3 linked regions of the Astyanax mexicanus genome follow. The main gene of each other region encodes a partner of the protein of the gene in region 3 in a complex. Links are inferred from orthologs where the notes say so. Each region holds a gene or a part of one and is shown on either strand. Other genes may lie near its edges. The genes, in order: arpc1b, arpc3 and actr3.

Region 1 (10,829 bases), on a different chromosome or scaffold from region 3:
CAGATTTCTCAAATATTAAATCAAAAATTAAATTCTCAGTTTTGATTCTTTCAGCTCAGATGTATCTCATGTCTCATTTTTGTCTAATGCCGTTACCCCTAAGCAATTTTAGGAGACACATCTGTGGCATTGTTGATCTCTAAATGAAACATAAGTGAGAATCCTCACTTTACAAATACGTCTCCTGAGACATAAAAGATCATCATTTGGTCAATAAGAGAAGCTCAAATCTGACATCATCTAGTAAAGTATGAAGCAAGAACATTGTGTAAGAACCTGACAGAACTCCCATGTTCTGCTTTAGCAGATGTGCTCCATCATTTATATCCTTGTCAGCCTGAGCGAGCTCAGGAGCGTGGTGCTGTTTCCACAGGGCCGCTGCAGGCGAGTGTGCAGACGAGCTGATTCGCTGTTCAGACCCAGCGGCCTGCTTAAGACTTCCCACATCAGCAACAGAGCACCATTCATGGTAAAACAGGAAGTGGGGGGATTAGTCATCACTGCTTCTCTCATCAGAGCCGGGCAGAAAAAATGAGCAGGGTGGCGACTGAGAGAGAGAGAGAGAGAGAGAGACACCACGCTGCCCTTTTCTCCATTTCTCATCAGTTTCTGCTCAACTAAAAACAAAGGGGCGACTGTTCCAGACCCCGTTCTCTCGGCCTGATGGTGGTTTAAACCCAGTCTTCGCTCCGTCCCAGCTGCTGGATTCTGGCTGTGCTGGGCAGAGTTTGAAAGCACAGGAAGGAGATTAAAAAAACAGCCTGATCTGAGTTTAAAAGTTGCGTGCTTGGCAGGGCAGTGGACTGTGGTTTCCCTGAGAGTGGCAGACTCAGCAGAACGGTGTATTAAACCAACACACGGGCTCTCAGGGCTTGAATGGTGGTTTGCTTAAGAGCACTCACCCCATACTCAAGATTGTGATGATGCAGCATTTCCTGTGTGATGTGCATTTTCTTTTCCTTTCTTTTATTAATTTATTTATCCCATTTTCTCCCCAATTTACAAGGACAATTACCCCACTCACTCATTAGGACCCCCCCTACCACTAGTAATACCCCAACACCAGCAGGGTGAAGACTAGCACATGCCTCCATTGATGCATGTGAAGTCAGCCACCACCTCTTTTTGAACTGCTGTTGATTTTTGAGCATTTCCAAGAAGCATCACAGCGCGCTTGGAGGAAAGCACAGCGACTCTTTTCTGATACATCAGCTCACAGATGCCTCATGCTGTGGACATCATCTTCAAGTGATGAGTGGAAAAAGAGCGCCATCTACCCACTCAGAGAGAGCAAGGCCAATTGTGCTCTCTCGGGGCTCCGGCAGCCGATGGCAAGCTATATGAATGGGATTCCTTTATTTCCATGATAGGGATTAAATTTTGTTATTTTAAAATGGAGATTTTCCACTGAAAGGAAAATATATTCTATGACTAGGTTTAGGCCCAATCCTATTTCACCCCTTGGCTCTACCACTTAGCTCTACCCCTTTGTTTTGTGTGTGAACGTCTAGGGGTAGGGGTGTCCTGATTTTTGTTAGGCTGGAGGGGTAGGGTGAAGAGTTATAGCTAAATGGGCCTTCAAACAAAGATTTTTTTAGATGCACTCTTAAAACAGAGTTCTATGAGAATTACTGGCAAGATTTAGTGGCTAGCTAGCTTTCTAACTATCCTGCTCCTACTTTTTAGCAAAGAAAAGGTACTTTTACTTAATTACATTTTTTCAGTACTTTTTCCACCTCTGGTAGAAGGTGGATAAGAGCTCTGCAATTTTTATAAGAAAACTGCTGCTTTTTTACTGGCCACTCATGCTTTAATCTTATTTTAATATATTTTGCTCAATATGACTATGGTCTGGCCTTTTTACTCCAATCTTGGTGACGCTACAACATAATTGTTATTAGAAGCCAACCGATAACATTTATGCTTATCTTTCAAGCTATTGTAAGTATTGAAAATACTGGTGACATTCTTTCTTACATAAACAAACATGCAAAAAAACACAATGGCCAATATGGATGTTATCAATGATCCTAGACTTGAAACAGGGAATTAAATATGAACTAATTTAATCTGAACATCAGGGGAGAAAATACCCATTCTTCTCCCTGTTTACTGAGCCACTCAAATGCATTCAGGAACCTTCAGAGAAAAAAAAACACCAAAAATGTTCTTTCTGAGCGTGTGATCTCCAAAAAGTAGTAGAAAAAAAAAACACACCAACAAACCCGTCCTTGTTCTTCTGCAGAGCCAAAACAAGGACAGCCAGCCTAGTGTCTGTTTGTCTGTTTGGAGCGACTACATACATCTACATTACAAATGTGAACATTCCCAGTGAACATTAAGCTTTAAAGAGTGAGTCCATAAATCAGAGAAGCTTATGAAAACCCAGCAGCCGCCTCCTGCTGCGAGTCCTGCGGAAATACCTGCAGATACCTGGCCTGGGACCAGACGCTCCAGCCTAATGTAGCAACCACATGTTCCAGCATCTGCACCAACACAGGCCTGCCTATAATCCATGTTCTGTGCAGGAGTGTGCCATATTTCCATCGGCTGTTATACATTATTATTATATAATTAGTGCTACAATATTATCTGCTGTCATACATTATTATTAAAAAAATATTTAGCTAAATTTTCACCTTCTGTCATTCATTATTATTATTACAGATTGTAATAATATTTATAATTATAATAATTACAACATTATAACAGATTTAAAAAAATATTATCTGCTGTTCAACATTATTATTATTACAGATTAAAAAAAAATATTATGTGCTGATACAAATTATTACAGGTTTTTAAAAATATTATCTGCTTTTAAATATTATTATTACAGATTTAAAAAAAAAATATTATCTGCTGTTAAACGTTATTACAGGTTTTTTGTTACATTATTGTCTGCTGTTATACATTATTATTACAGATTTTAAAACATATCTGCTGTTAAACATTATTATTACAGATTTTTTGTTATTATTTGCTGTTATACATTTTTATTTATTAAAAAATATAACCTTCTGTTATATATTATTACTAAAAAAATACCTACTGTTAAACAATACAGATTTTTACAAATATTATCTGCTGTTAAACATTATTATTACATTTAAAATATATATATATATATATATCTGCTGTTAAACATTATTACATGTTTGTTTGTTACTTATTATCTGCTGTTAAATATTATTATTACAGTATTATCATGCTGTATCTGATAAAAAAAATGACAAAAATGTAATGTTTTTGTTTTATACTGAATCTATGAAACTTTTATATTAATACTCAATGAAACCACCATTATTTTGTTGCAGTAAAATATTTTTTAAATTAATAAAATATGTTTTTAGTCCCATCACCAAGAATATCTTATTACAACATTGAAACACTGAAATATTGTGATAGTATTTCAGTATAGTATAGCCCCCCTCTCATGCTAGGGTGGACATCTTTGTGATTTTGAGATGTTTAAAGGCCTTCAGAACTCTGGAAGATGCTCTACACAAGAGCAGCAGAACTCACGGGTTCGGTCCTTGTTCCAGGCGTGGCAGCTGATGGGTTCCAGTAGAAAGCTGTGGTAAGCCATGGTTCAGGTCTCTGCAGATCAGATACAGCAGCAGATAAGAACAAACTGAACACCTTCAAACCTTTAGCATCTGCTCAAATGTTTAAAAGAGCACATCCAAGTAACCATATCTAAATACTTTTTTATTTATTATCTATAATTCAGTCCACACATGGATTTTGGGAGAACTTTTCAGCATATTATAGCTTTTAGAGGTTTTGATGGATGGAAGCATGTGTCATCTAAAGTCTCAAATTCTTCATACATTTGAACATTTCTGGTATATTTTTATTGCACAAAAAAAACATCTACTTTGATCTTGGTGAGAACACCTGCTAATTAGTTATATCTGTGTTAAATTTACAAAAAGAAAAAAAAAATCAAAAAGTGAGGCCACGCTTCTTCACTTCCGCAGAAATGAGAACAAGAAGCAGCGGCTCTAAAAGGAGAACTTTCTGAACTTCCTTATGTAGTCAACTCCATTGTGTTTGATCTACATGTGAACTAGGGGTGTGCCATATTGTATTACACAGTATAAAATGTTATAATTTATTTAATTTATGATTAAATTAGTTAATAAAAAAGAACAGTATATAATGATTAAAGCAATATTTGATCTTGTAATCAGTATGGTTTTTTTTGTATTTACAGTGGAGCTTTAAGCTTTTTACTTTTTAAGAGTATAATTGTGTTTGTTTGCAGTTAATATGCATGCACTAAAAATTCGGCACAGATTTACAGATTTTTTTCTGTTTCTACTGATTGTTTGAAACTTGTCTTTATACAATAAAAACAGCAAAAAGTTTATTGCCAAGAATATCGTTAATGCAAAAATAGCCCTGAAATATCATGATATTATTTTGGGGCCATATCGCCCACCCCTAATAAAATAAACACATTCTTTCATGTCTAGCTCAAATTTAGATTTAGTCTAAAACGCTCCCAGCCGGCCTTTGGAACTAAACTTCCTCTTTTTCCCCTCTTTCTCTCTCTCTTTTGCAGTAAATTAAAAGCAGAGCAGAAAGGAATGTGACGTGAGGTCAGACAGCCGGATGACAACTGCAGGAGAAAAACACATTCAACACCTTTTCATCTCAGACTTTCCATTCAGAGCTCCCTCCCTGCTCTAAAGAGCCTCTTACGCCTTCTAAAGTCTTCTCAACAGTTCATAAGAAACAACAGTTTCCTCCTCAAAACCTCTATTTATAGCTGTATATCTGGGAACAGTTATGACATTGTTATGCAAAGGCGTAATAGTAGTAATAACATGTTAGTACATGTTAGTTTCGCAACACTTGAAGCTCTGCATACACACACACACACACACACACACACACACACATATATATATATATATATATACATATATAGAGCAGAACACGCCCTGCAGCAGCTAGCTGAAAGCCTGCACTACGCTTCACATAAACAGAAAAATCTGTTCATCTACTCACCCTGGAAATGGTTAAACGGGAAGTTTCCCTGAGATCTAGCAGATAGGAAGAGGTGGAACAGAAGCAGCCTGAGTTCGTGGACTCTGAGCAGTCAACACAAACGCTGGCTCGGCTCTCAATGAACTCAACTATTTCCTTAGACCTTTTATATACGTAAAAAAAAAAGAAAAAAAAAAAAGAAAAAGAAGTGTTCTTCCCCCTTCCTGTTTGAGACACTTAACCACTTCCTCGTGTGGGCGGCTGTCTGCAAACGGGGCCAGCCTTCTCTGTTCAACTCCTTTCAACATCCTGCTCAGAGGCATGTATAACATAAGCTACTCTCGCGATCCTTCATCTGCCGGTGTGTGTGTGCTGCCTGTACAAACACAGTGAGTCCAGAATGTGCAATGTGAACACTAAACCAACTAGCAAACCTTCTATTCGCTGTGGATGGGTGAGTGTTTGGCATGAATTGAGGCTGCAGTTAATCAAATATCCCAAAAAGTTGTGCAACATTCAACAGCAATACCAAACATCCCGAACGCGAGCATTAAATGCATTCATTAAATTAATAATAACAACAAGTCACACAGAACGAGACAAGACACTACATTCCCAAATGGTGTGTAGTATACTTCATTTATTTCTAGCAGACCATTTACATAAAATTCTCCTTTAATTTAACGCCTCTCTGGTTCCCCAGAACACCAAGATCAAATGTCAGACTGCTGGAGCACCAGCTTTGGCATAGAATTAAAAAAAAAAAAAAAAAAAAAAAAAAAAGCCCCCAAAAAAACAAAACAAAAAAAAAGACCCTAACCCCCTTTTCCATTAGTGTTTTTCCATTTTTTTTTTTCATTTGTTTCTTTTTAAGAGTGTCACGTCAGCTCACACCACTGTTCAGTGCTTTTTTTTTTCTCAGTTAAAAACTTTCAGAAGTGTTATCAGAAATCTCCTTGTTAGTCTTCAAGCTGCATTGCCTGCGCTGCGTCGTGCTAGTTCAGAGTGAGGTCTTTCACATGATCCGTAGGCCTTGAATAGAGGACTCTAAAGTCTGAGGAGACAAAAAAAAGAAGAAGAAGAAGAAGAAAAATGAGAAGAAGATCAAATACAGTGAGCTGTTGAGCTCAGAGCATGTTTCTTACGCAAGATTGAGAAATGACTGCAAGGAAAACAAAGATTGTTCTATTCTAAAAAAACAAACGAGCAAACAAACAACAAAAAAAAAGAGATGCCAACAAAAGCACAACAAACAAAAAGGCAAACCTTAAAGTCCCATATGGTCATTGCTCCATCGATTCCTGTAGTGCAGAATTTGCGACAATCTCTTTTGTCTCCTTCATATATAGACACTTGGCTGCAGAGGAAAGGCAAAGGAGATTACTTACAGATCAGAACAAATTTATATCAAAACACTGAGAAAAATAATGTAAACCCCTCCATGAATTTAAACATAACCAACTTATTTGTTATCTTATCCTCAGTCAAATAAAATCAAATGCCAACTGCCACAACATCTGAAGTGGAGTTGTACATGTGATATATATATTTTTTTCAGCATGTGATGTTTGAGTAGTAGTCACACAGCAGGATGTTCAAGATCACTTAAGTAGAAATGTAACAGTACACAAAATTCCACAATTTGGTGCGATTCTGCTACGAAAAGTAGAGGCAAAAATAAACAGTAATTGTGCAACTTCCAGTATGCTCCAGGTACTTTTATATATTTCCCTTGAGGTATCGAATTTTTTGCACTATAAGGTGCACCCAAAATCCTTTAATTTTTCCAAAAATAGTCAGTGCGTCATATAATCTGGTGCACCTTATGTATGAATTTTAGTACAGCGTTATACAGGAGTTTCAGTTTAGTTCTCCAGCACCGAAACTGGAGCAGTATTAGCATTAGCCCCTAACCGTAATAAGTGCTATCTTTTTTACTGTTCAGAGGGGAGTATTATCGGCCTGTAGCTTACTGCTAACCCCGACTAGCACTGCTGGAGCAGCATTAGCCGCGGCTTACCAGAACACTCAGGATTCCTCAGTGTAGCGCTGTCGGCAGCATTTACTAGCGCTAACTGCGGCTAACCTAGTGGAAATCTGCAAATCTAAGCCTACTGTAAATAAATGGAAGTGCATTTCTTGCCTAGTTTTCAGAAGATAAATCTGTGTAGATTAACATCCTTTTTTATTTTTAAGAATTACAGTTGTGTTTACTTTGCTTTGCTCTACTTAACTTAGTTAACTACCCCCACCTGCAGTGAGACCTGCTGAATTAGAACCCATGATCCTTACTAGTGCTGCATAAAGCGCTTTATAATCCAAAAATACACCAGAAAATAGACGTTCACTGATAGTGCGCCTTAAAGTCTGAAAAATATGGTGAGCAATACAGTCTATACTGCATTTAAACAGCGAAATGTAAACAGTCACAGTGGTCGTATTCTTATCTAACCTGAAATACACATTTTATGTTTACTGTTATAAAATACAAAATTGAATACAATATAAAACGTTTTGCAATGAGAGGAGTGTTATAATTTAATATAATTTATATTTAAACAAAACTTAAGTTCAAAGTTTAAAGAATTTTGTCAGTACAAATCAGCTAAAGTTTTCTCGTGCAAATAACTCACTGTGTTCATTGGTTATCACACATTGGTATAAACGGTGTGTACAGTGTATTCTCCTCTGCAACTGCACAAACCATGACCCCTCTACTGATAATTCATAAAGAACACATGTAACCATTATACCCCTACACATTAGGCAAAGGCAAACACACCACACTACAACCTTTTTGGCAGTTGGTATAAAATGGAAATATCCAGGCCATATCTACTATAGGTTGATTATACATTGGCATGCTAGAAGTCATGGGAGAGCAGTACACTGGAAAGGCAACGTAAAACATCAGTTTGAGTGAGATCGGCAGTGAGTGCCAGATGGATGGGACATTATATTTCTAAATTGTGCAGACATTTACCAATTCTAGGAAAACTCCACAGGTTAGAGCTGCTTCCTTTAGCTTACATGGCTACACAAAGTGCATTACCAATAGGGCTGGTTATCGTTTAAAAATGTTCAGTACTGATACTGATACAATACTTTAAATCTGGTACAGATACCCAAACAATACTTTTTTCGATATCTTTTTTTAATTGTAACTAAAAAAAATATATACAAAAAGCGATAATTATTCTCACAAAACATGTTTAAACTATCACTGTGAGAGACTACCATAATTTTGGATCTTGTTGGTTGTTTGTGGCGCTTTATTAAGAACCAAAACAACAGCGTTACTACAAATATTTTCACTAAGCATAATACTGGATGCATTTCAGTTCTTTTAAAAAAATATCTGCATTAGATTGGCAAAACTAAATTATTTTTATTAGAGTGGTGTCAATCACTTAAAAATTAAATATCAAGTTTCATGCTAGTTCCCTGTATTATTGTGAGGGAACAGCTAAAATAGTGTAGTGTGGTTTAGGTTTGGCAGACTAGATCATTTTTTATTGTATTATAATATCTCAGGGTAGAGGGGAGGACTGCGTGAGAGACAAAGCGAATGAAAATGAGAGAGAGACAACGTGAATGAGCTAGAGAGAAAGAGAGACGGCGCACAAGAGGTCAAGCAAGAGACTGTGTTTCTGTGCGCGTTTATGCAGGTTTAATGCAAAGTATCGAAAACAGGCACCAAATTTTTTTGGACCTTTTGGTACTCTGTAGTACCGAGACATTTTGGACCACTGTGTCTTTATGGTATCAAATTTCGATATCCAGTCCTAATTACCAATTTCATGACATGTTGGATCTGTGACTGCAGTGATTGCAGTGGAAAAACTGTTAGTTCTGTCAATATTCTACAGGCCTAATCTGAAGCCAGTGTCCAAACACTATTCAGGACCACGACCAGGGCATGAGACTTACGTGATGCTGTTCTGGTGAAGGGTTTCCAGAGTGCTATTGCGGTCCTCAGTGGTGGCTCTCTTGTCCATGTTGCGGAAGCGCTCCATGGCAGAGATGTTGCGCTGGATGCTCTGCTTTGGAATGTCCAACTTGGATATGAAGGTCAAGGTTCCACCATCATCAAAGCTGAACAGCATTGGGCAGCAGTCATGACCCTTCAGAGGAAAAACACCACTTTAAAACTGAATCCTGAGACAAAAATGACAATAAAACCTGAACCTGTGCTGTAAACTGTAACCTGCCCTTACCGCTGCCACAATGTTGTTCTCAGAAACGAAGGTGACGCTCAGAAGAGCAAGGAATTCTGTTTTCAGTGGGCTTGGCCTGCAAACAAAAGGAAGCAGTCTTTCAGAAAAAAGGGCCAACAAAACAAATCTGAAAACACACAATGTTTTCTGAAAACATAAAAAAATGCAATCATATTAAGATTCTCACGTTGAGCTTTTTGTGGGGTCCACCACAGTCACAGTGCTGTCATGGCTGACCCAGGCCAGTCTGTTCCCACTGGCAGAGAAACAGACACTGTGGACCCATCCTCCACTGCCTGCCCCACCAAACTCTGCCATCACCTGCCCAAACGGCATCTTGGACCCCCATGGAGTTGGAGCTGGCTTTTCATCCACCTCCTTGATGTATGCAGAAAATACCCTGCGAAAGAGATAGATGTCACATGACTATAAGGACACAGACAAAAGTCCATCACTGTTCTGAAAAGCAACAGCAGCCTGTTCAAATAAACATGGCATTGTCTGAAATAGATGCCAAAGATCTTTCATGGTTTTGTTCGAAATCAAAAGGTATTAAAAGACTTTATGCAGTTTTTGATGAAGTAACTGTCTCTAATTTTCTGGGGATGTTTCTCTTAGATTATAGGACGATGGATGATCACCACCTGATTGGATAACCTTTAGTCCATGTGTGGCATTTGACATGGTACCAATAGCTTTGTGTTTATTTGCTCCAGACAGTCTTATTCTGTTGGCTTCTCTACAGGGACTAAACACACAGTGTGCATTTGTACATCTGTATCAGCAATTGGTGTAACTAACATTTTTTAAAGGAGTGTCCACAACCATTTGGAAATATAGAGTAAAACAAATATTGTTATTGTCACTGTAACAAATCAAAATCAAATTTATTTGTATAGCACATTTTACAACTGATGTCATAAAGCAGCTTTACAGGACAAAGAATCAGAAAACACTGAACCCTCAGTGAGCGCTGGGGCAACACAAAAACCTTGTATCTCTGATTATGCCACTTTTTTATTATTTGACATACTCTAAAACTTCTTAAAAAGTTGTTATAAAAATGTCAGTTCACTTGGCCGGGCACTTATGTCTGTTTGAATGGGGGGACGGGACAGGGGCTTTCCTACCAGCATGCTGACACTCCTACAGTCTACACACAAGAAGCAGCTGATTGGCTCTTTTTGTTAAGGGCAAGACTTTTTCCATAAACAGGAGCAATTTTTAGCATTACAAGAAATCCCATTCATACATCCTCACTAATAAGGTCTCTGCTTATAATACTTTTTTTTTTCTTTTTTTTCTGTGAAGCTATAAGGAGAACCTAGACTTTACACAGGAGTGATATGATTGCGAGTAGTCACGTGCCCATAACGGGAATAGCGGACTCTCAATGAAAATTCCAGGTAACCGTGAGACTCAAACTTACCTGCATTTAAAGTCACATGACCCAGCTGCCAGAAGTACATTGTTTGGATGCCAGTCAAGACTGAGGACAGTGGAGCGGATAGGCTTCTTGATGTGTTTGCTAACCCACCTTTTTAAAAAACATAGAAAGCATATTTATGCACAGAACAGCTGCAATGTGATCTGTTTTAAACTGAAGGCTCCTAA
Region 2 (11,053 bases), on a different chromosome or scaffold from region 3:
ACCCACCACTGTGAAAAGAGCAGAGACATTAAACATGTGATTAATGTACTATCTAATATTTCACTGGAAGCATAACATTAAAAAATAAAACTATATATATAATATATAATTACCAGTAATGTGAAAAAGATAAGTTTAAAAAAAAAGCTGCTTTTCTGATCAGTACTTGTTAGTAATGTTAAAAACATTATTAGAATATATGTAAAAAATATTAATAAAAAAGTGGTGTTTTTAAACTTTTGTTTCTTAGTCTGAGTATTATTTATAGTTCTCATCATATTAACATTTGGTTTCATAAATCAGAGCTTAGTAATGGTAAATCAGGTGACTTGCTGATGGAATTGAACTCTGTAAAACTGTAATTATGTTTAGCTGTATTGTTTGTAGATCTGGAATTATTTTTTACACTAAATGCTCTCTTATGGCTCAGAAAAATGATTTATAACTGTGGTTCTCAAACTTTTTAAAGCAATGTTGCGCCATGATTAAACCAAAAAACTTATTGGCACTTTAGCCAATCTGCAAATTACTGATTATTGTATATTGTAAATGCAGTATACCTACTGAGAAATCTTGAGACAGTGGGAAATAACATGAGAATGTAGTGGACTACAGAGTCTACATGGCTCCACCCCAGACTAATTATTTTGCTGTTATTACTAATAGAGACTATTGTGAATGGAGTTCCACAGAGATCAATTGTAAGGCCTATGAAACTGTAAAAAACTGTGTAAAAGTGTTATCTTACATACAGGGTCTACCAGATTAAACATTAAACACAAACAAACCTTAGATGTAAAAACTTTATTAAATATTTTTTGTAAATTCATTTAATTTTCTGAAGTAATCTGGTGTACTACCCTGAAATGCTTTGTGTATCACAGCTTGAGAGCCACTGATTTATAATACTGTGATTACCAGCCTGAAACCTGTGTGTGTGTGTGTGTAACAATATATGCTTACCTTGCTGGGTTTGTCTGTCTGTGGGTCGAACACGCGCTCACACAGTCTGAGGCCGGTCTCCTGGCGAATTTGCTGCAGGTAAGCCCTCATCGTCTCTGATAAAAACAATCAACAATCACTTGGTCAACATTAGAAAGGGAGCGGACACTGATATGAAGGCATTTCAAATTGATTACTCATACTGCAGATAGACAGATAGAACAGATATAGTTACATAAAAAATAGAAACATTTAATACTCTAAATTAATTTATATATGTATTGTAGGGAATTGTGTGCCTAGATATGGACTCTGCTGTAAAATGCTGTAGTGGCCGATGCAGTCCTCCAGGTGGACTGTGGTTTCCGGTTGAGAGTACGCTGTGCTCTATTGGCTGCTGCTTCTCGCCGGTGTATGGATGAGTGCTGAGTATAAAGGGTTGTGTGTAAAAATGTGTAAATTCTAAAGTGTCATTGGTTTCTAGAAAGGCGTTATTTAAGTGTAACTTCATTCATTCATTCATTCATTCACTGAAGCAGCAGTTATCTCGTACCTTCTTCCTGTTTGTTGGAGGGTTTAACGTACATGGCGTTCAGAGGGAATCCAGGCTCTCCTGGGATGGGGAAGTTGGTGATTCCCAGCGTGTACATCTCCTTCTCTCCCTGACCCTTTGAGCTGCACTGCAGGACATAAAGAAGGATGTATTTGTTACATGTATCAGTAAACCCTTTAATTTACAGCATAAATGATGAGGCCACAAACAATATAACAATAATAACGTGCCCATGTATTACTGGAGTCGGTTTACACCTGGCATTACGATGAGGGTTTTTGTGATAAGATTCAGCCAAGCAAGCACTTGTCCATTGCACTGTGTGTGTGTGTGTGTGTGTGTGTGTGTGTATCCATACTAACAAATAGTTGATAGTAGGGCTATGCGACATGATACAAATATAATAACACTATTTTTAAAGACAATTTTCCCATACTAAGATTTATGTACAATTTACTGCAATACTTCCAGTTATTCTTGACTAATTATGCTCTCTATAATATATATCTATAAATATACAATTAGGCCAGTAACTTTTAAACACTGAAGAAATCCTCAATATGCTTGAAAAGTTTATATTTGTACTTACGATAAGAAAATAATGATAAAATAAAATATATAATACTTCCCACCTATCTATCGCCGTTTAAGTAGTCCATTACATTTCCTAATAGGGCTTTTATGGAAATGTGAGAACCATCTCCACTGTATAGAAGTACCACTATCATTTCAGGATGGTATTGAAGAGAAACCATTGTTTACAGGAAGTACAATAGGAACTGAGTATGTGTAATTTAATTGTATTGTTATTATTATTATTATTATTATTACTCCAGGCACACTCACCTTCTGTAGCTTCTTGAGGCACTCAGAGATGTACAGGGTGACGTAGATCAATGTTCGGTCAGCTTCATTCTAATAAAAATTAAGCAAATAAAACAATTACTGCTAGAAAAGACGTATGTGCTTACAATACAATACATAAAAGAGTACAAAACAGAGAGCGACCCTACATGTGATTATATGAAGGCATGACTGTATTTCACTGTTACCATAATAAATTACAGTACCAGTTAAAATTGTGTGTTTCAGCTATATACCATACATGTAACAGTAAATGTAAATATATGTGTGTGTCGTGGATATTTTGCCATATTGGACTGGACAAAAAAAGCTGGACTAAAGAAAAAAATCATCTATAGCGCCTTGCAAATAACATGTCTGCTTTTTTTTTTTAACAATACACAGCATTTATTATGATACATGTAATTACATTCAAAAAGCATCAGTAGTGAAAGATTAATAAAACATTACTCAGATACTTTCCCATACTGTGATCAGTGAATAGTAGGGGTTTGTCATATTCTATCGTATGCAATAATAGAATGGAATTAAAATTTTGCCGCAGAAGTGTATTCTTGAAATATATATATATATATATATATATATATATATATATATATATATATATATATATATATATTAATTCAGTTTTTTTATCATATTGCCAAGAGTATTGTTATTGCGAAAATACCATGAAATAGTAAAGTAGAGTAGTAAAGTAGTAAAGAACAGCTGATTGCATATTTGCTTATGTGTTTTTTTTTTTTTTTTTGTACAAAAAGCATGCGAATACAGCACCAGTGCAGGCTAAACTGAAGGTGGCTGCAGAGGCAGATCTTAGAAGAATGCAGGTTGAGGCATGAGTGCATTTTTTACAGTCCTGGGTCCTTCAGCTACTTCCTGGGTATTGCAGTACATTGCAGGCTTGCAGTACGTACCTTAATTTCATAGTTCTTGAAGAAAACGTTGGCTTTGAAGTAATAAATAGCCTCATCGATGATATCTTGGTCTTTGGCTGTCAAAATAGAAAACAGGAAGATGATGAATCTGAGTCTATGGTGATGTAGTTAGTAGTGCAGCCAGTTCGCAACCATTTAAGGAAGTAATGCTGGAGCCCTACGGCTTGGACACATGACACAGCCAGCATATGTATTTTTAAAAACACATTTATTACTAAAATAATAACTCACTTTCTTTTGGAGCCGGGCCTTTAAACTGTGTTTTGAGAGGGAGTAATGCCATATTCCCCACCAGCTTGGTGTCGCCATCCATCAGACTGGAGTGGTAAGCCTGATAATCCAAAAAAAAAAGAGGAAAACCCGTTGGAATTAGTATTAAATCTATTAAATATGCAATAATGTGTTTTTAAAGCAAATAAAAATACCAACAGCCTTAGCTATAGCTAGTTATAGCGTTACAGTATTGAAACTACACTGGGTTACATTACCAATGCAATACATTCGCTAAGCTAAAGCTATGTATTAGTTAGTTAGCTGGGGTTAGCTCCCTAAATCCCTAAAAAAAATGTGTATTAACTGCTTATATGCGATACCAGCAAACCTCTAAGACTCATAAAACACATGCAGGTGTTTTAAACAAACAGAACACGTTAAAATCAGCTTTAAAATCAGAAAGTCCAGCTAAAATTCTCTGAAAATGTCTGAGGAGGGACGGGAAGCTGCTAGCCGTGCAGCTAGCTTCGTTCGGTTGACCATCAGCTCCAGCTACCGTGGCTCAGAAAAAGACCCGAAAACGAAGATTATACTGTTTAAAAGCCGTTTTAATATGACGTTCTATTAAAAGAGACTTTAAACATTTTCTTACCGGCATTTTGTTGATAGGTAAGCGGGATTTGGTGAGGAAAATATGGATAGTGTCAGCGCTGCAAAACGCCGCTTCCGCTGTGAGTCCCACCCAACCGCTATACAGGAAGAGCTTGGGCTGCAGTTCCCATACTGACCACTAGGGGCAGATAACCGCATATACTATACTAAAACTAGAGCATCTAAAAAAAAAATAATATTATTAAAAATATCATTACTTTATTTCAGTAATTCAGTTTAAAATGTGAAACGCATATATTACATAAACGTCTTACAGTATTACACACAGGATGATCTATTTTAAGCATGAAATTATTTATTTTATTGGTGATGATTATGTCTTACAGCCAATGAAAACTTGTGGCAGTGTAGGCAGTGTGCCAAGTCCTGCTGGAAAATGAAATCTGCATCTCCATAAAAGCTGTTTTCAGCCGAGGGAAGCATGAAGTGCTGTAAGATTTTGTGGGAAAACAAAACTGCACTGACTTTAGACTTGATAATAAAACACAGTGGATCAACACCAGCAGATGACAGACATGTCTCTCCAAACCATCACTGATTGGTGGAAACTTCACTCTAGACCTCGAGCAGTTTGGACTGTGTGTCTCTCCACTCTTCCTCCAGACTCTGCTCCCTTGATTTTTAAATAAAATGTAAAATTTACTGATGATCAGTGATGGTTTTGAGAGTCATGTCATCTGCTGGTGTTGATCCACTGTGGTATATTAAATAGTTTAACATGAAAAAAGTTTACATGAAATGTTCATTCACACACTATTAAACTGGCCATACTTGTAGATCATTATAAACCATCAAACACATATTAAACAAAAACATACTGATATATATATATATATATATTTATATAATCATACATAATTGTATATAGTATGGCCATTGTCATGTCGTAGTAATTCATACCTATTTATGTATATGTAATTTGTATTTAAACATTACATTTTTCAGATCAACAACCATCAGAACACATGTAATAAACTTTTACAAATATTTTATTGAAAAAATATTTATTATACAGCTCTAAGAATGTAAGAATGCATCATCCCATACTTAAAGAGTGTAGGAACAGACAGGAAACACAGGAAGAATAAAATTAGGAGAATAATAATTATGCAGTCTGTATTGAAAACATGCACACACACCCACACGCACAGAAACTAGATTCTTGAGGAACTTCAGACTCTTCAGACTGCCCGACATTTCCTCCTCATGTCCTGCAGCGGTGCTCTTCACTTCCAGGCTGGGAGGGTCACAGCACCCTGCTGCTGAGTGCCCGTTTCATCAGCACTGCATCTCTGTGACTTTTAGTCTTGTTATGTGTCAAACAGGCTGTATTTCTATGATGAAGTGTCTAGTAATCCACTTTGTCTTGAAAGAATTCATCATAATTTGTGTTGCTAGGCTCCTCCTCAGTCTCCTAAAGAAAAAGGGAAATTGTTAAGTAATATAATGATGAAAAATAAATGGAAATAATCATACACCTTTAAAGCCTTTGTATTTAAATCAACTGCATTTAAACCTTAGATATTGGGCTACTTTAGGCTTCTGAAGGGCAAGTTTTAGACTTATTTTGGCTGGATATTTTTTACTGAACCTGGCAACCACATGATAATCTACACGGTAAACTAAAAAGACAAATTAAATAACGTGTTTACCTTCGGCTCCTTGAACTCTAGGTCCTCTCCATACTGAATGGAGAAGTCGATGTGCTGTAGAACAATGTTGATGCCTTCCTCATCTGTGCGGTCAAAGGGCAGGAAGCGCACCATGCTGTAGTCATCAATCTGTACACAAACACAAATCTGTTTCTTAAAATACAATGTATTTTATGTCATATTTACATATAAAATATATAAAATTTGGGACCTACCTACCTCCTCAATTGCATTACATAAAAATAGATATAATAATAGAAATAGTTTCAATAAAACAAAATACAATGACAGACAACTCTTTACATATTATAATGTACATATTAAAATAAAATATTCTGTTCCATAAAAATCTATTTAATTGTTTAATAAAATATAATACAAAAACAGGCATCATTGTAAACCTACCAAACCACAGATAGCTTTAGTGAGTTTGTTGAATTTTTTGCTCCTCAGGGTTGTAGAGTTGTCCTCCATCATGGAGTACATGTCTGGATCCAGATACCTGAAGTAAAAACATTATATTTATCTGTGTTTTATTACAGATTTTACACACGAATACAGTCAAATACAGACCGACACTCTTTGGGAAACTTACTTCTCTATTTCCTTCTTGGCTTTTGGATTGAGCAGGTCCATTTTGGTCATGATGTTGACCTGAGGGATTTCTAGCGCCACCATGGCACTCAGAGCCGCCATTACACCTGAAATAAACTAGAAAACAGAGCATTTCTGATGGGTGTTTTTTTTAAACTAAATAACATCTATTTAGTCACACATTAAGATATGTTACCATCCAAATTGTAATGTTTTTTTGGCTTATTGTTTATTTATTTTACATAGTACAATGTAATTCAATACAAATACAATTTTACGTTTTCCCTTTTCCAGTATTTCACATTATTCATATACATTTTAAAAAGGATTTATAAAATGGTATAATAGGGAAATAAGAAATGATTAAAATAAGTAAAAATATAAATACATAAGGACAAAAAAAATAAATTTTAGTGTTTTAAAAAGTTTGAGTTTTGACTAAATATGAAAAATATTAGTGTGTTTCTTTTGCTTTTAAAGACAATACAGAAGTTTACATCACAAAAAACTGCTAGAAACTGATAATCTAGAGCAGTGATTCTTAACTGGTGGTTCAGGACCCAAAAGTGGGCTGTGGGCACGTTCTGGGCGTGTCATAAAAAGCTTACTGTAAAAGTAAATATATATAAAAAAAAAATCTAAAATTAAAAATAATTTATGTTCATCTGGTTTTGTACTCTTTTGTATTTTATATACTCTCAATGCAGAGATATGCAGAGAAGTGAAATATTTATTTATTTATTTATTATTTATTTCGTGCAATTTTAATATTAACCTAATAGTAGTAACTTTTATACATATAATTATTATGAACCTCCTTAGTTTCTTAAATGCTCTGAAGTGCTCTGAAAATTCACTTTGCTTGCATATGCATGTTTAAACTGCTTTTTGAAAGCTATATTTTTATTAATTAGTTTGGTTTGAATTTAAAGTGGGTTGTAACTTAATGACCAGGAGAAAAATAAAGGACCATTTGAGAACCCCTGCTCTAGGGTGTTTTTGAGCTGAAAATGCAATAATCCTGATTGTTATTTTATTTTTTCAAAAAACAATATTAATTTCCTACCTTGAAGCTTTCCACCATAAACTGAGAGTCGACCAGGAAGACCCCACACACCCGGAACTCCCACTGCTGCAGCTGCTCAGCCAACTGCTTCATAACCGGGAGGTGTGTGTACAGCTCTATCTGACCTGCAGCCAGAGAGGAAAAAACACATGGGAATAAATAATGTGGATTTAAAGAGAACACAGATGTTGATGAAAACACAAATAGAATAAAAGAATGGATAATAGTTAATAGTTTTAGTCTAGGGGCTTTGAGTGGTCCAGCTGATAGGAACTGTGTAAAAATGGGGTCAAATTAGACATAAATAAGAATAGTTTTAGGCGAGAACATCCATTAAAGTCACTTTTTTGTATTAATGAATTTCCTCACAATTTTATTTCACAATTATCATTACCATAATCTTAATAATGGATTAATGGCAATGAATTTCAGAATTACCTGGACAGTCAAAAAGAATGTAGTCATCCTCAACATGACCAAGACACTCCTCCAGCCAGTTGAAGTTATTCGCAAAATACTCCATACAGAACACAAGTCCTCCATTCGGCCCAAACTTCAGCGAATCGTCCTCCATCACATCATCCACCTGGATCAGCTCTCGGATATCTGTACCATTACAAAAACAACAGAAAACAACAAGATTCTTTGTAGCCGTCTTTTAATATTAGGGGCGGGACAATATATCAATATATCGCATCATTTTGACCATATTGTTTTTTATCGTTACGTGGCACCAAATATCATTTTCATTGTGTTATATTCCTCATCCACTGACCTGGATTAACATTAACAATAAAAACAATCATTTGTACAATTCTGAGTATTTCTGGATTTATTGCTGGTCGATTTGTCTCCAGTCTTACCTGCCATCACTGGGTAGTCGAAGTGTTCTGCTGCCGGGTCCAGATTCACCACCTGCACAGAGCGGCTGATGGCTTCAGCATGTTGTATCATAGTGGAGCAGTAGGTGCTCTGTGGAGGAGCAGAGTAGTTCACTATTAAAATGAGCAGCATAATCAAATAATAATCAAAAACCACTCTCTTTCTGTGTTTATTTAAATGGGATTAATCTTATTTATGTTTCTGTAAGTGTCTGTAAGTGAAAATGTACTTAATTTACAGTCATCCATTAAGCTTTTCAAGTGATTTCGAGTTTTATCTTATTTATTCACATTATATATAAATAGTATATCTACTAGAGACAGATTATATCTGTTCTGTATCATTTATTTTACTGGATATATCCTGGATATATGGAGATATTTGGAACGCATTATTATTAGTATCATGACATTTTGGATCATTGACTTCTGTTACAAATCTGATAAAATTCTTGTGTTTTTTTTTACATTACATTACATTACATTTTTTAATATCTCAGTTAGGGGTAACATATATAATATCATATTGTATACAATAATAATATTTTTTTTATTCAGTGTTTTGTCATATCGCCAAGACTTTCGTTATCGCGAAAATACCATGAAATATCGTGATATTATTTTAGGGCCCACTCCTAGCTCTAAATATTAATTTAGTATCCTATTTACACTCCTGCGATGTGACGGTAGCCAGAGAAAATACTGAATGTATGTTAATAGGGATAGATTTGTATAAAACACTAAAATAAAGCAGTATAATCAGATTTAACAGCTTTAATTTAGCTTGATAGTTTTATATTAAACTCTGATCTAATAGTTTTACCTTTCCGCTGCCGGCGGGTCCCATCACCAGCTGAGCGTAGCGCGGCATTATTAACTAAGTTACTATAAACAGCTTTATAACTTCTGAATAACGCAGTTCTCCACTATTACAGAATATATTACAGTATTTATATTACAGTACAGTGAGAGAAATCACAGAAATATCTCTGTAACTGTATTCATATCTCTATCTCTGACTGTAAACACCACACCACTAATCTCCCACTGCCTCCATGCTGCCTGCTGACCAGTCAGAACTACGGAAAGCGAAGAGTATCAAAAACTACAGCGTTCAGAGAATCGCCAATCTCTCTAGATTCGAATACCCACCAGAGAGCGCTGCCGAGTCAGTGCACAAAAATACATAATTGTAAATAAATAATTGCACATATAAATAAAATAAAATAAATAAATATATAGGCAAGTAAATACATGAATAAATACATTTTTATGAAAAAAGCACTCACTTAAAACGATATCAACTATATCATGTTTCCATTAACTTTCCATCCACTTTATTTGGGTCTGTTTCTGTATTTTTCTGCATTTATTGTTATCTATATATTTATTGTTTAATACATATATATTGATTGATACATACAGAAATGAATAAATAAAGAAATATAGTAATACGTACATAAATAAATAATACATAAATAAAATAAAGAAATGTGGGAATAATATAACAGAATATAAATGTTGAAATTTTGAAAAAAAAAAAAAGAATAATAAAGGTTCACGCATGGAAATATGAACAGTGATTCCTAATATGATATTCAAAATATATTTATTAATTAAGTTACCTATACTATTATTTATTTATTTATTTATTTATATGTGCATGTATTTATTTATGCTTGTCATTTTTCGTCCTCCATACCGAACTGCAGAACAGCTGGAATTGAACGTGTAACCTATACAAACTTGATTTTTCAGTGGTGTAATCACTCCACCCTGACACTAGAGAGAGACAGAGACTAAATATTATAGTGGTACTACATAAATAAATCTTGGTGTATACTACCTTCAACAATGCTATATATTTGTTGTATATTGTTATTATGCTTACAGGGGCATAGTAGTTAAATGTTAATCAAAACTAATGCATACATTTTACTGAACAGTATAAAACACAGAAGCATTGGAAGGTTGAATTGATTTTGATCAAAGACATACAGACATAACCTTCATAAACAATATGAACAATAATAAAAATAAACAAAAAGAGTACTTTTTCTATTTACATATATAATACAAGATATTTTCCCCAAATATTATTTAATTAAATAATAATAATAGTATCAGTTCAGTTTCGTATATCATCTACAAGTATACATATATATATATATATATATATATATATATATATATATATATATATATATATATATATACAAGTATATGTGTACAAGTATATATATATATATGTGTGTGTGTGTGTGTGTGTATGTATGTATGTGATGCTGTAATGCTTTCACGCTGAGCAGGGTCCTCCTTTAACTGTCAGTCACACCCCGTAGTCCCGCCCCTTCCTGCTCAAGCCCCTCCCCCCTCAGGCAGAAGCTCTGTAGGCTCTCAGTAGGCAGGCGGGCAGTGTAGCTGCAGCAGCGCGCGCGCGTCTCCTCCTCTAATTAACAGCTGCGACAATGGGATAACGCGCCGCGCGGCTTTCACCGAGTCCGAGGTGTTCCGGAGAAGCGACGGGACTGGAGCGCGTGTCTGCGTGGAGCACGGAGGCGCGAGACCCCCGCTTTAGAGCCGTTTCCCCCTCAGAGCCTTTGTTTTAGTGCGCTGCTCTCAGACGTCCGTACAAAAGAGGGGATGATGATGGAGAAGCGGATGATGGCGCATCACTC
Region 3 (11,717 bases):
ATCAGGATACAATAACACCTAGCTAATAGAGCTAGATGACTTAGCCTAAACTTAAATCTAAACATCTCAGTCAGTCAAAAACAATACAAAGTCCAGTTAGGCTTTATTGTAAAGCATATTTCATTCAGTACCTCAAATCTGAGAACACCACTTATATTTCCAGCATTAAAGTGAGTCTTTGTGGACAGGCATGCTTTAGCTCTGATTTCAGACTGGCCTGAATCCAAAACAAGCAACCACACCTGATAAGCTACAACACACCTTACAGGAACAAGGCCTTGCTGGTTTCCTGGTCAATCTTAAGTCCAGGCAAATGATGTGAGGTATATATTTCCCCTGTCATTATAAAGCATTTGCATCTAAAAGACCAAACTACAGAGCACCCAGTGAACAGAGCAGGTCAGTTTTCAAAAGATTGAGCAGTCAAGATAACATTTTCTTAGGTTAAAATAAACTAGCTTTGGACTGGAATGGATGGAAAGCTGCACTAAAATGTTTGTTTAAGTGTAATAAAATATTCATGCTTTAGATCAGAACTGGACCAAAAATCTTAGCTCTACATAAGTCTATTTATCTAAGGAAGTGACCACCACACTTCGACTACAGCACATCTGTAAAATTGTGCACTGTCAGGAAACTAAAAATACTAAAAGCAAACATTACTCCAGCCCTGACTCTTCAGAACAAGAGTTGAAGAGGGAAGCAGAAGCAGAAGCAGAAGCAGCCTCAACATGACGAGGATTTGATGCTGGTCAAATTTCTCCATTGCGTTATGAGTTATAAAAAGCAGTGGTGCAGACCATGCAGAGAAGTTCAGGTCAGAGAGAGGATGTGAGGCTTTCACACATCTCAGACTGGGTTACACACAAACACACACACACACACACATAAACACACACACACACACACACACACACACACACACACACACACACACACACACACACACACACACAAACACAAACACACACACACACACACACACACACAAAAAAAACACACACACACATCTGTGCTACAGAAACAGCCTACTCTTCCCCATCCATTCTCTGAACAGATGCTTGTAATGGCTCAAAGCGAAGGGGGTGGAGGGAAAGGTATGCAGTGAGGAATGTTCAAGTCTCAACATGTTGACACTTCAGAGGGAACAGCCTTCACCACATACCAAGTTCAGTATAAAAGTATATATGCATCAACAACTTTACAGAGAACAGATAAAATCTATATTGTGCAAAAAGGGAGATGAGGTGAAGGAAAAGGGGAAAGAAAGAGGCCCTTTAGCAACAGCTGAAGTCAAGCAGAGCCAAGTACTGTCACTAAATATATAAGGATGCGTTTTAATATTGCTGCTGTTGCGCCAAAAGCTCATATTTGTTTCTGTATTTGGCATAGTTTAAAAGTGGTAGCTTCAAATGAACAATACTGACAATAATATTGACAGAGCAATAAAATGGTCCAAAATTACTTGGAATAAAACAATTTAATTTTACTTTAATTAAAAATGAAAAAAAAAAATTCTCCTGTGAAGTTGCTATTTTGGAAATACAAGGATTTGCAAGACAGCAATCATATACTGTTTAACAAATACAAACTCTGCGAACGATCCTTGTTAGTGCTGAGAATAATAAGACTGGACAGGATAATACGGTTTTATAAGCTCAGTATAAGGCTGAGCAGGACAATAAGGCTGTATAATCTCTATGCATACGCTTATGCTGAGTATATGGCTTAATAGAATAATATGGCTATACACCATGTACTACTGCTGAGTACTGAGTACTGAGTAAATGATGATGGCTTAATAGAATAATATGGCTATACACCATGTACTACTGCTGAGTACTGAGTACTGAGTAAATGATGTATAAATGTAGAGTATAATGCAGTTATAGCATAATATGGAGAGAAAAGCTATAAGTCTACATATAATAGGGTTGTGTCTGCTGTTAATGTTGAGTTTAATAAACATGAAAGTATAATCACAGGTGGTACAAAATCTTTATTAGTGTGGGGCATAGTATGTCTGGGGAAAATAAGACTGAGGTATAAAACTATTGCTAAACAATGCTGTTTATTTAGTGCTGAGAAAAACAGCAGTTATAGTAGTATAAAGGATGACTATGCAGTTAAGAGTTTGGTTTAATTAATATTAAGGGTACAACAGGTATAGAGTGTATAAGCGGTATTAAAATAAAATTAAGTGATAAAAGAGTGTTAATGCTGGTTATAAGGTGTAATAATATAATAAGGTCGTGTAACGGTTAGACCTTAATAACACTGTTCTCATTTCCCATGAAATATTGACTAGAGACAGAGCATATCTGTACAGTATCATTAATTTTACTTCAATCCTGGGTATATGGAGTGCATTATTAGTATCTTGACATGTTAGATGATTGACTTACTTATTGTTACAATCTGTTGAAAATCTCAACTAGGGATAGGCCTTCCATGATAATTTTTGTGGATGATATATTGTCACAAAATTATTTTAATAAACTATATTATTGCCATTTTAAGACCAGTTACATAATGAAAAAAAAATCAATTATACCCTTTAAATACAACATTTTAATTAAACACAGTTTGGTAAATATATACTTTTTTCCAGCTACTGCAGTTATGACACATTTGCAAACAGTAATTTTTGTTACCGCAAAAATATCCTAAGATACTGTGATATTACACTGCCTGGCTGAAAAAAAGCTCACACACTAATATTTCATTGAGGTTAAGGTCTGGACTCTGTGGTGAACAATGCATGTGTAAAAATGCTGATCTTATACTCCCGGAACCACTCTTTTACAATTCCAGCTCAATCCTGACATTGTCATCTTGGAATATGCTCGTGCAATCAGGAAAGAAAAAATCCATTGATGGAATAACCTGCTCTATATTCAATATATTTAGGTAGTCAGCTGACCTCATTCATTTGCTTAGTTAAATCCAGGTGCAGACTTTTTTTTGGCCAGACAGTGTACAATTGCATGACAAAGCAATTATATCCTTTTAAAAAGACATTTTAATTAAACATAGTTTTGGACATATAAATGTTTTTCTTCACTCTCTACAGTCATGCTAAACTTGCAAACAGTCACTCTTGTTATCACAGCAATATCCTGAGATATTGTGATATTATTTTAGTGCTGAGTATGTCAGAGCAGTATAAGGTGGAGGTATAAAATGTGGTTGTGTTATTGTCAGGTAGCTATATTGCAGCTAAATACTATAACAATGCTATATATGCTGGGTATAACAAGGCTGGGGTTGGTGCTGCTGTATATTTGATAGAATTAGCCGTTAGCTGGGTTTGTTATCTAGGTTAGCTTCAGTGCTGAGGAGAAGCAGCATCCAAAACCAAGCGCAAAGTTCAGTTTCAGAAACACCACTACAAACTACAAACACAAAACCGACCCTTTTACCATTGGTTAAACACGGTCTGTTGCCGCAGGACAGAATAAAACACAGCTAACCTAACTAAAATCCCGTCCAAACGTCAAACACGACCATATATGGAGCAAAAAGCGAGAAGCAGGAAGCGGCTCTGACTGTCAGTAAAATTAGGAAGTTGGACTGCGCATGCGCGGCGCCACTCAGAATGAGTTTTGCAGAATTTATCAGGCAATGTGGGTTTTTAGGAGAATCCTGACCTGATAAAACCTGGAAACCCGCACACTGCGCTTACTGTCGCAGTCTGTAAACATGTGTGCATGTTCAACATGAGCTGGAATGAAGCGTTTTGATGATATGTAGCTACACATCTCGCCAGTGAAAGCCCATTCCAGGCTTCATAACGTTAGCTAACCTAGCATTGCACACAGCCACCACCCAAACCCAGGCTCCTCATCCACCCCAGCAGCAGAGCTGTTCTGACACCCCGTCCACTGTGGACAAAAGCAGAGCTGCGTGTCTACAGGAAAAGCGACCACAGGCTCGTATATTAGCGGGTTTCTACTGGAAGATAATAGATCTAACAGAGCACATCCACATCCACACACCCAGAGCTGCTGCTGCTGCTACTGCCACTGTGGAATCGGCTGGAAAACTCACCCTGTGCCGCAATCCACAACGCACGCCGGCAGCCTCCCAGCCATTTCTCCGCTCTGCGCTGTTTTAGAAGCCGGTATTAAAGCTTTCTGCCTCCAGAAGAGCAGCACAGTGTGGTCAGCGGCCAATCTAAAGGCGGAACCCTTAAGTTTTCAGCCACTTCCGCACTCGGTCGGCACTCAGCGGAGAGAAAATGGCCGTCGCCGGTGAGGAGGGGGGACGGAGGGCGCATGCGCATTGACGCCTACAGGCAGACAGAGGGGCGAGTGTCAGCTCAAACCATAGATTGTCTGTCTACGTCTATGGCTCAAACCTTAAAAATGTGTTTTTAGTATAAATTCTCCTTTTATTCCAAGATAAAACCATAACAGACACAATTCAAACATTGTACAGACAGAAATAAGGTGCCAACAGTCAAATAACAGATCTGAGTTCACGTTTAACACTCGTTAAAGTAACTAAAATCTTTTTGCAAATCAGTTTTAAGGAGAAAGATTACAATCTTTTTGAAAAGTAATTCGAATCAATTTTCAGAAAAAATGTAATTCTTTAAAAAGTTGTCTAAATCCAGTTTTCTGAAAGATTCGATAAAAAAGCAGTTTGAATCTATGATCCGTTTAAAAGATTCGAATCTTTTTGAAAAGGAGTTCCAATTAGTTTTCAGGAAGTTCGAATAATAATAATGTTTGATGCAGCTTACATGAAAAATCTCTTTGTAAAAATGGTTCTAAAATGCGTTATTATATATAAAGTAGAATACAAAATCTCATAAAACTCACACCACACATATTTATAGTTTCTTCACACATATTCATTGGCTTACTTAATAATTTACCTCAGGCAATTTTTTTATTGTATTGTATTGTATTTTTGGCATATCCTATAAGTCCACCTAATTTCGTAGGAATGCAGAATCATTACTGTTAGATCATTGTTAGATGAACTGCAGTAAATAAAGTAAATTGTTCCTTATAAGAGTGGAGATATAAGGTTATATTTATCAGATGGTGAATCGACCGAAAAGTGTCACGCCAAACTTGCAAATAGTTGCTCCGCCTGTTTTGCATTCTGGGAGATGAAGTTTTAGTACGTAAGCTACAGGACAGAGTACCAGAACTAGGAACTACATTTACCATGATGCTGATGCGCTAAGTGAAGTCATGAGTAGGAGACCGAGCTCATAAAACTCATGTAAATATTTACCACCCAGTCGAGTTATTATCCTTTACAAAGCCGCAGATTGTTCGTAACCTCGCCTGATAAACGCATGAAGACGGGTTTCGAGGCCGTGCCGACTGAAGCAGGTACTGTAGCTAAATGTCTACATATAACCTACATGTAGTGTTTAATAGCTAACACTAACATTAGCTAGATTAACCGAGGAGCCGAATTACCAAGAGCTCCAGTCTGCTTTCTGCTCTCTGTACCTCTCTGACTGACTGACCGCTGCGCTGCTTATCAAAACACAGCTGATTTTTTCCTAAACAGAGCTGAGTGTAATGATATTTAGGTAAAATTATAAATTAAAATGTATCATAGTCTCAATGTCACAAGCCTCTGTTCACTACTCTGTCAAGAAGTCTAAAATAAAGACCAACAGGTTAAAGAACTCGTTCTTCCCCAACTGCCACCAGAGCTCAGAAATAACCCTGCACTTTACTGTCTACATTCACAGTCATTTTACTGTAGCACAGCTTTATAATTGCATTACTGTTCATTTAGCATTTTTATCATATCTCCTTACTGTAGATAAGTAATGTTCTTGTTTGTGAATAATATCTATATTATATAGTGCTGTGATTTTGTTGTATTCTTGTTGTAAATGTAACAGCATTTTAGTGAGTATTTTTATATTTGGTAAGTTTATTATTTGCTTTATTGTATTTTTTCTTTTAATTAGTGTGGGGCGGTATGACCAAAATGTCTATCACTGTATTTTTTAAGGTTCTGTCGCTTTCATGGTATATCACAGTATTATTATTATTTTATTTATTTATTGTTTTGGCATGACTGGGCTTTTATATTGGTTTGTGACTTGATGTACTGTTAGGAGTATATCTAATATCAAACATTAAGTCTTTGATTACTATTGGTTTTACTTTGTCCCATAAAATCACCTTTCTTTTACAAAACACTGTGAATTGACCTAAAATACCTTTTAAGTTTAAGGTATTAAAAAAACATTTCTCTATTGCACAAGTAAAACACAAGTTAAACATCAATTTACAATATGTTATTAATGAAGCCATTAGAGACTTTACAGTATTAAAAAACCACAATTCTCTTCTTTTTTCAGTTAAAAATTAAATTCAGTGTGCATTAATATTATCCTTCAAGCTATATTATAAATATATTTAAAAGGATATTTTTCCTAAGTGAATAATTGCTGTTTTCTGTTGTTTTTATATTTTACTTGGATAAAAAGACCCATAAAGTGCTGTTCTCAAATTTCTCTCCAGGCAGGAGAGTGCTAGACAAGCGTGTATTAGCTTGTTTTGCTTACTCGTTAGCGTTAGCAAACAAACTCTGCCAGTAGGGCTGAACGATTAATCGTTTTTTAATTGAAATCATGATTTAAATGGACACGATTCATTGGTAGCATGGTCATTAATAATAACTGCAAACGACTGTCTGTTTGGTTATTTACATTATAACTTATTTATTTTACTGTTCTAAGGTCTTTGCTCTGGCTTTTAGTGATTGTGTGATGCAGGCTTTGTGCCACATCGTGGAGAGAGAGGCTGGCCGAGACCGGTGTGTCCGTTTCTAATGCGTCCGGCACGGTAAGGACCTTCACTCAACCAATAGGGTTGGATGTGTTGCTGGTTTTGTGCTAAATATTTGCATTGCAGAACACTTACCCACATACACTGTTTGCAATGCATACATATAAGCCAGATGTAAATAACGCATTACCTCCATTGCTTGCGTGTATGTGTAGGATGAGTTGGGGGGTATGTGGTGCCCAGAAGAGGAGGCTGGTGCTGGGCGTGGTCATCCTGCTGCTTGTGGATGTGATCTGGGTTGCGTCATCTGAACTCACTGCAGTAAGATCTACATACAGTACACATTTTTTACACACATTTACACATAATATGCTTGTATAATGTGCTATGCTCTATACTTCTTTTCCCTTTTAGTATTATTATTGTTAAATGGTCCATATTAAAACTAAATGCTTTAAACCTGCTCTTCGTTCCCCAGGCCATACATTTATGAAAGTTGACCTACAGAAGCAGTCCCTTTTAAATTCATAATGGCTGTGATGTTATAACCTTGCCCTTTTCTATTCATCGCCCAATCATCTTTCACCAGCTTAAGACATCTAATGTATTGTAATTTATAAGTGGTGAGAAAAAGATGAAAAGTAAAAAGCTTTCCTTTCTAAAGGATTCAGATATGCAAAGGATTTTAGTCCTTGACATTTGTTCAGACTGTAAGAGCTAAGAGTGTGTTATGTACACTTCAGATAGGGCTGTCTTTTCAAAGTGTGCTTTGTTTAATTTTTAAAAGGGTTGAGGTAGTAAGAACATATTTTATAAGTATGTATCAGAATTAAAGATAAACTCACTGGCTTGAGTTCTGGAAAACAAAATGGATGAAATACATGACTTCCTTACGTGGGTTGTGTTTGTTTGTGTGTTTCAGTACATCTTTGTGCAGAAGCAGTACAGTAAGCCGTTCTTCAGCACCTTTGTGAAGACCTCCATGTTCGTGTTGTATTTACTTGGATTCCTCTTCTGGAAACCATGGAGGCAGCAGTGTGCAGCTCGTTATCAGCAGCAGCTCAGCAGCCTCGTGAGTTCTCCAGATAACTTTGTCTTGCTTTTGATAGTTTGTATTTTTAATATAAGTAATCCTTACATGGTAAAGGTTTGTGACATCCATTGGTAGGCTGGTTAAAAAAATGTGGATATTTTTCCTAATGTCTAAACTGTGGGTCAATTTCCACTGTAAACAGAAGCAGGATAAGCACTGGGCAACACATCTTGGAAATATCTCAGCAAAAATAAATTACTTGCTTATATGTTTTTTTGGACTGTGGGAGGAAACCGTTCGAAAACCCACGCAGACAAGGTGACTGATGGGACTTGAACCCAGGACCCCAGCGCTGGAAGGCAAACGTGCTAACCACCAGTGTTGTTCCAATTCACAGCTTTTCTGAACTAGTTCCAGTTCAGTTCATACATGCTCAAAGTGAACAGTTCACGTTCAAAGTTCACGATTTGAATTCTGAACTAGTTCAAAGTTGAGTTCATTTTACTTTTTTTGTGAGATATTCAAATAAATGCTTTTTTTTTCACACTACAAGCTAGAAATCACTATACGTTCTTTGAAACTGCTCATTGTAGACATTTGCTCATGACACTGCAATTGTGGGTTTCTTACCAGGTGATGAAACAGCAGTACAAAGTGTTTTAAGTGTTCATAAGGAGAATCGGTGTCTGTCTCCATCCCATCACTTCCACTAGCCATTGTTTTTCAAATTGCAGCGCTTTCTCTCACTCTCGTCATTGGTCTGTCACTCTCTCTCTCTCGCTCTCTCTCTCGCGCACTTGCTCCTCCAGCGAGAATACAGGAGGGAGGAACTTTCTCTTGTTGCGTTTCAAAAGAGAAAACAGATGTCACTCAGTTTTCAATGGAAAACAAATTCCAACGTTTATTTACAGGGATGTCTGCCGTTCATGAAACATAAAGTGAACTAATTCACGTTCAAGTTCTTTATTAACAAATGTGTTGCGTTCAGTTCAACGTTCACGAAAAACGCACAAAACTGCTAACCACTAAGCCACTGTGCCTCCCAGAAACAAAGACTTCACTATACTATAAGGTGCACCAGATTATAAGGCGCACTATCAATAAACGTCTATTTTCTGGTCTATTTTCATACACAAGGCGCACCAGATTATAGACAACAATAAAACAAAACTGTAAGTCAGACAAGTCAAACGAGAGCTGGATATTAATCTACACAGATTTCACTCCTGAAAACTGTTTATTTGGGTGAGTAAAATGCTTAGATTTATTTACAGTAAGCTAAAATTTCCAGATTTCCACTAAGGCTGGAGCATTAGCATTAGTGGCTTACAACTAATGCCATCTAACTGCCGCCCGCCAGCGCTACACTGAGGATGCCTGAGTGTTCTGGAAAGCCAGGGTGATATTAGCTAGCGGTTCATCCCACGTAGCTTGTTTTAACATGGTAAACGCGCAGGCCACACGCCGATAATACTCACCTCTGAACGACCAAATGGCTAGCACAGATATCTTGTAAGGCTAATGCTGCTCCAGCAGTGCTAGCCGGGGTTAAAAGCAGACTACAGGCCTATAATACTCACCTCTGAATGGCCGAATGGCTAGCGCTTAGCGGGTACCGCTAATACTGCTGGAAAACTAAGCTAAAACTCCTATATAAAGCTGCGCTTCAGTAGAGTGGCTTTACTGCTCCTTACAACCTGACTTGTAAAATTCCTACATAAGGAGCACCGGATTATAAGGCGCACTGATATTTTCTGGGAAAATTAGAGTATTTTACTTGCGCCTTATAGTACGAAAAATACGGTACTTGTTCTGGGAATGTGGCAGTCTTTTTACCATCTGTGCAGTAAACACACACATACACCCTAAAGAAACATACACACAGTGATCAAGAACTCTGTTCTTGATAGTAAGTTGCTCAAACCACATTGCAATATCAGATGAGAGGGCCAGAGTTAAGGGACTTGCCCAAGGGCCCAGCATTAAAGGTGTGGTAGATCTGGGTATAGAACTCACAACCTTGTTATCAGTCACTGTCATCACTGTCCTTAACAGTCTACACTGACCACTGTTGAAATAGCAGTGTTGTTATAATACAATCTAATTTTAAAATATTATTTAAATCTTAGTATTCTGGTATGGTTTAATGCATTTTTTTCTTTTCCAGATTCCTGATGCTGGTTCTTATGTGTCTGCTGGTGCAACTGAAAACAGCTTTAACAACTCTTTAGTGAGTATACTGTCACACTGAAGCACGTACCGTATGCTTTGTACACAAAAGAACAATTTAACCACTTTGAGCTTGATTGCGCTGCTTGATTACAGCCAGCTAAAGGGAACTGTAAGATGTTGTTTCCAAGACACAATACAGGAAGTTGATTAGGGTCTGCACAATTAAAAAAAACCCCACAACTCTCATCACATCCACCCTTATCAAAGCAGAGTGCCGATAATTGTGATTTTTTTTTCTTTTTTTAGCATTTGCCACTGGGCGTTTGAGATGTGGTAGATTTACATTTTCTTCTTAACTAGGATTGATAAACTTCTTAAGCATATTAAATAGTAAAATTTGAGCACATTAGGCATGTTTGTGGAGACTGCAGCTGCATTTGCAAGGGCAGTGGGTTTATTGAGGCAATAATAGGACTTTGTTATTGTCTAATCTGCATGGACACTGTCCTTTACGTGCTGTGTTTGTGCATGTGTGAAGTGTTTGCAAAAATTCTTAAAATATTTTCCAAGATCAGTTTTACAGTAATTAGCATCAGAGATGGGGGATCTCGGGTCATCTCACGATGGTTTGGCTGCAGTAATGATCTCTATATATCGCAAGACAATTCTCTATGATACTTTACGGCTTCTGTGTTACTGAAGAGGATAAAATACTCCTAAATAAGCAAATACCTGGAATTATGATTTTATTGGTGCCAGATTCACAGAATTTCTTTAATCAATATTCTTCGTTGAAGGTTTATCTTATTTTTATGTTGAGTTGCGATGCAGCTTAACAGTAGTAACTCTATTAAGGGGCAAGTCTTAGGGAGTTCAGAGCGCTTATTTTTAAATAAAAAGATCTATATTTGATGCCACATATCAATAATGCATCAGAAATTTTAATAATAAGTTATGTCCCACCCCTAATTAGCTTTGGTTGATGCTTCAGTTCTTTGACCCACAATATTTAATTTTAAAATATACTAAATTTAACAGTCCAGATTTCCTTTTAAGACATGAATGATTTAAGATCATAATGCAACAACAAATATACCTGCTGTAAAATAATTTGTTTAGACAAAATCCATCTACTAAAAGGCATCAGATGTGAGGAACAGCAAGCTACAGATCTAATTTACCAAAGTATATCAGTCACACGTCAACATTACAGCTTTACCTCAAGTATGACATAATTTAAGACATAATATTATTGTTTTTTTTTCTGTAAGGCTGAGCCTATCAATATGACATCATTTTAGATTAGGAATCATATACATTAAAGAACTGTATTCTATGTGTGTGAATGTAACCTGTATTTGTATCTGTTCTGCAGAGTGAGCCCCTGTATGTGCCGGTGAAGTTTCAGGATGTTCCTGACAGCAACGCCAGCAGAGAGTCTAAAACCCGTAAGTATTTCTAAAAAACATTCCAAAAGTATTTAATCAAATTAAACATTATATAACCTTATCAAACATAAAAAATCACACATACCAATATTATATTGTCTTGGATAGCATAAAAAATTCTAAATTCAAAATCATGAATGAGGTTATGCAAAAATCAGTACTTAATGATAATAATAACTCTCTTGGTTAGAAATCACAGTATGCAATAGTCCCTTTCTTTTTTTCCTTTGCCTCTACTTAGACATTGTGAGGACCTTGGAAAGCTTTAGATTTTGTTTTGTCAGGAAGTCC

Evidence for each region.
Region 1: actr3 (region 3) and arpc1b share a complex: the UniProt entries of both Homo sapiens proteins name them as parts of the arp2/3 complex. The link is inferred for Astyanax mexicanus from reciprocal best matches to the Homo sapiens genes ACTR3 and ARPC1B.
Region 2: the proteins of actr3 (region 3) and arpc3 are in contact, whole or in part, in a cryo-EM structure (PDB 6YW6), measured with the Homo sapiens proteins. The link is inferred for Astyanax mexicanus from reciprocal best matches to the Homo sapiens genes ACTR3 and ARPC3. Residues at the interface, in NP_005712.1 of Homo sapiens: Phe203, Gln206, Asp210, Arg211, Glu212, Leu238, Val239, Phe242, Asn243, Ile253, Asp270, Gly272, Tyr273, Glu286, Phe287, Pro290; in NP_001265485.1 of Homo sapiens: Tyr47, Tyr48, Lys50, Ala51, Phe54, Phe55, Lys56, Lys158, Trp159, Thr161, Cys162, Phe163, Val164, Lys165, Arg166.

What each region holds. Positions count from the first base shown.
Region 1 is NC_064410.1:54,828,273-54,839,101, reverse strand, and holds the start of arpc1b (actin-related protein 2/3 complex subunit 1B), read right to left. Parts: upstream 5,175-10,829; 5' UTR 5,020-5,174; intron 3,601-5,019; 5' UTR 3,590-3,600; coding exon 3,526-3,589; intron 1-3,525. Other genes in the region: arpc1a (actin-related protein 2/3 complex subunit 1A), read right to left, coding at 6,014-6,052, 6,265-6,355, 8,929-9,122, 9,216-9,291, 9,403-9,615, 10,645-10,752. UniProt on the Homo sapiens protein: Component of the Arp2/3 complex, a multiprotein complex that mediates actin polymerization upon stimulation by nucleation-promoting factor (NPF).
Region 2 is NC_064424.1:45,963,175-45,974,227, reverse strand, and holds the start of arpc3 (actin-related protein 2/3 complex subunit 3), read right to left. Parts: upstream 4,314-11,053; 5' UTR 4,169-4,313; coding exon 4,163-4,168; intron 3,629-4,162; coding exon 3,529-3,628; intron 3,354-3,528; coding exon 3,277-3,353; intron 2,411-3,276; coding exon 2,342-2,410; intron 1,623-2,341; coding exon 1,496-1,622; intron 1,059-1,495; coding exon 964-1,058; intron 9-963; coding exon 1-8. Other genes in the region: gpn3 (GPN-loop GTPase 3), read right to left, coding at 5,531-5,596, 5,835-5,963, 6,240-6,336, 6,430-6,545, 7,495-7,619, 7,933-8,100, 8,358-8,466, 9,199-9,246. UniProt on the Homo sapiens protein: Component of the Arp2/3 complex, a multiprotein complex that mediates actin polymerization upon stimulation by nucleation-promoting factor (NPF).
Region 3 is NC_064418.1:35,512,276-35,523,992, forward strand, and holds the start of actr3 (actin-related protein 3), read right to left. Parts: upstream 4,249-11,717; 5' UTR 4,095-4,248; coding exon 4,051-4,094; intron 1-4,050. Other genes in the region: solute carrier family 35 member F5, read left to right, coding at 6,817-6,830, 6,989-7,094, 7,696-7,845, 9,974-10,036, 11,354-11,426. UniProt on the Homo sapiens protein: ATP-binding component of the Arp2/3 complex, a multiprotein complex that mediates actin polymerization upon stimulation by nucleation-promoting factor (NPF).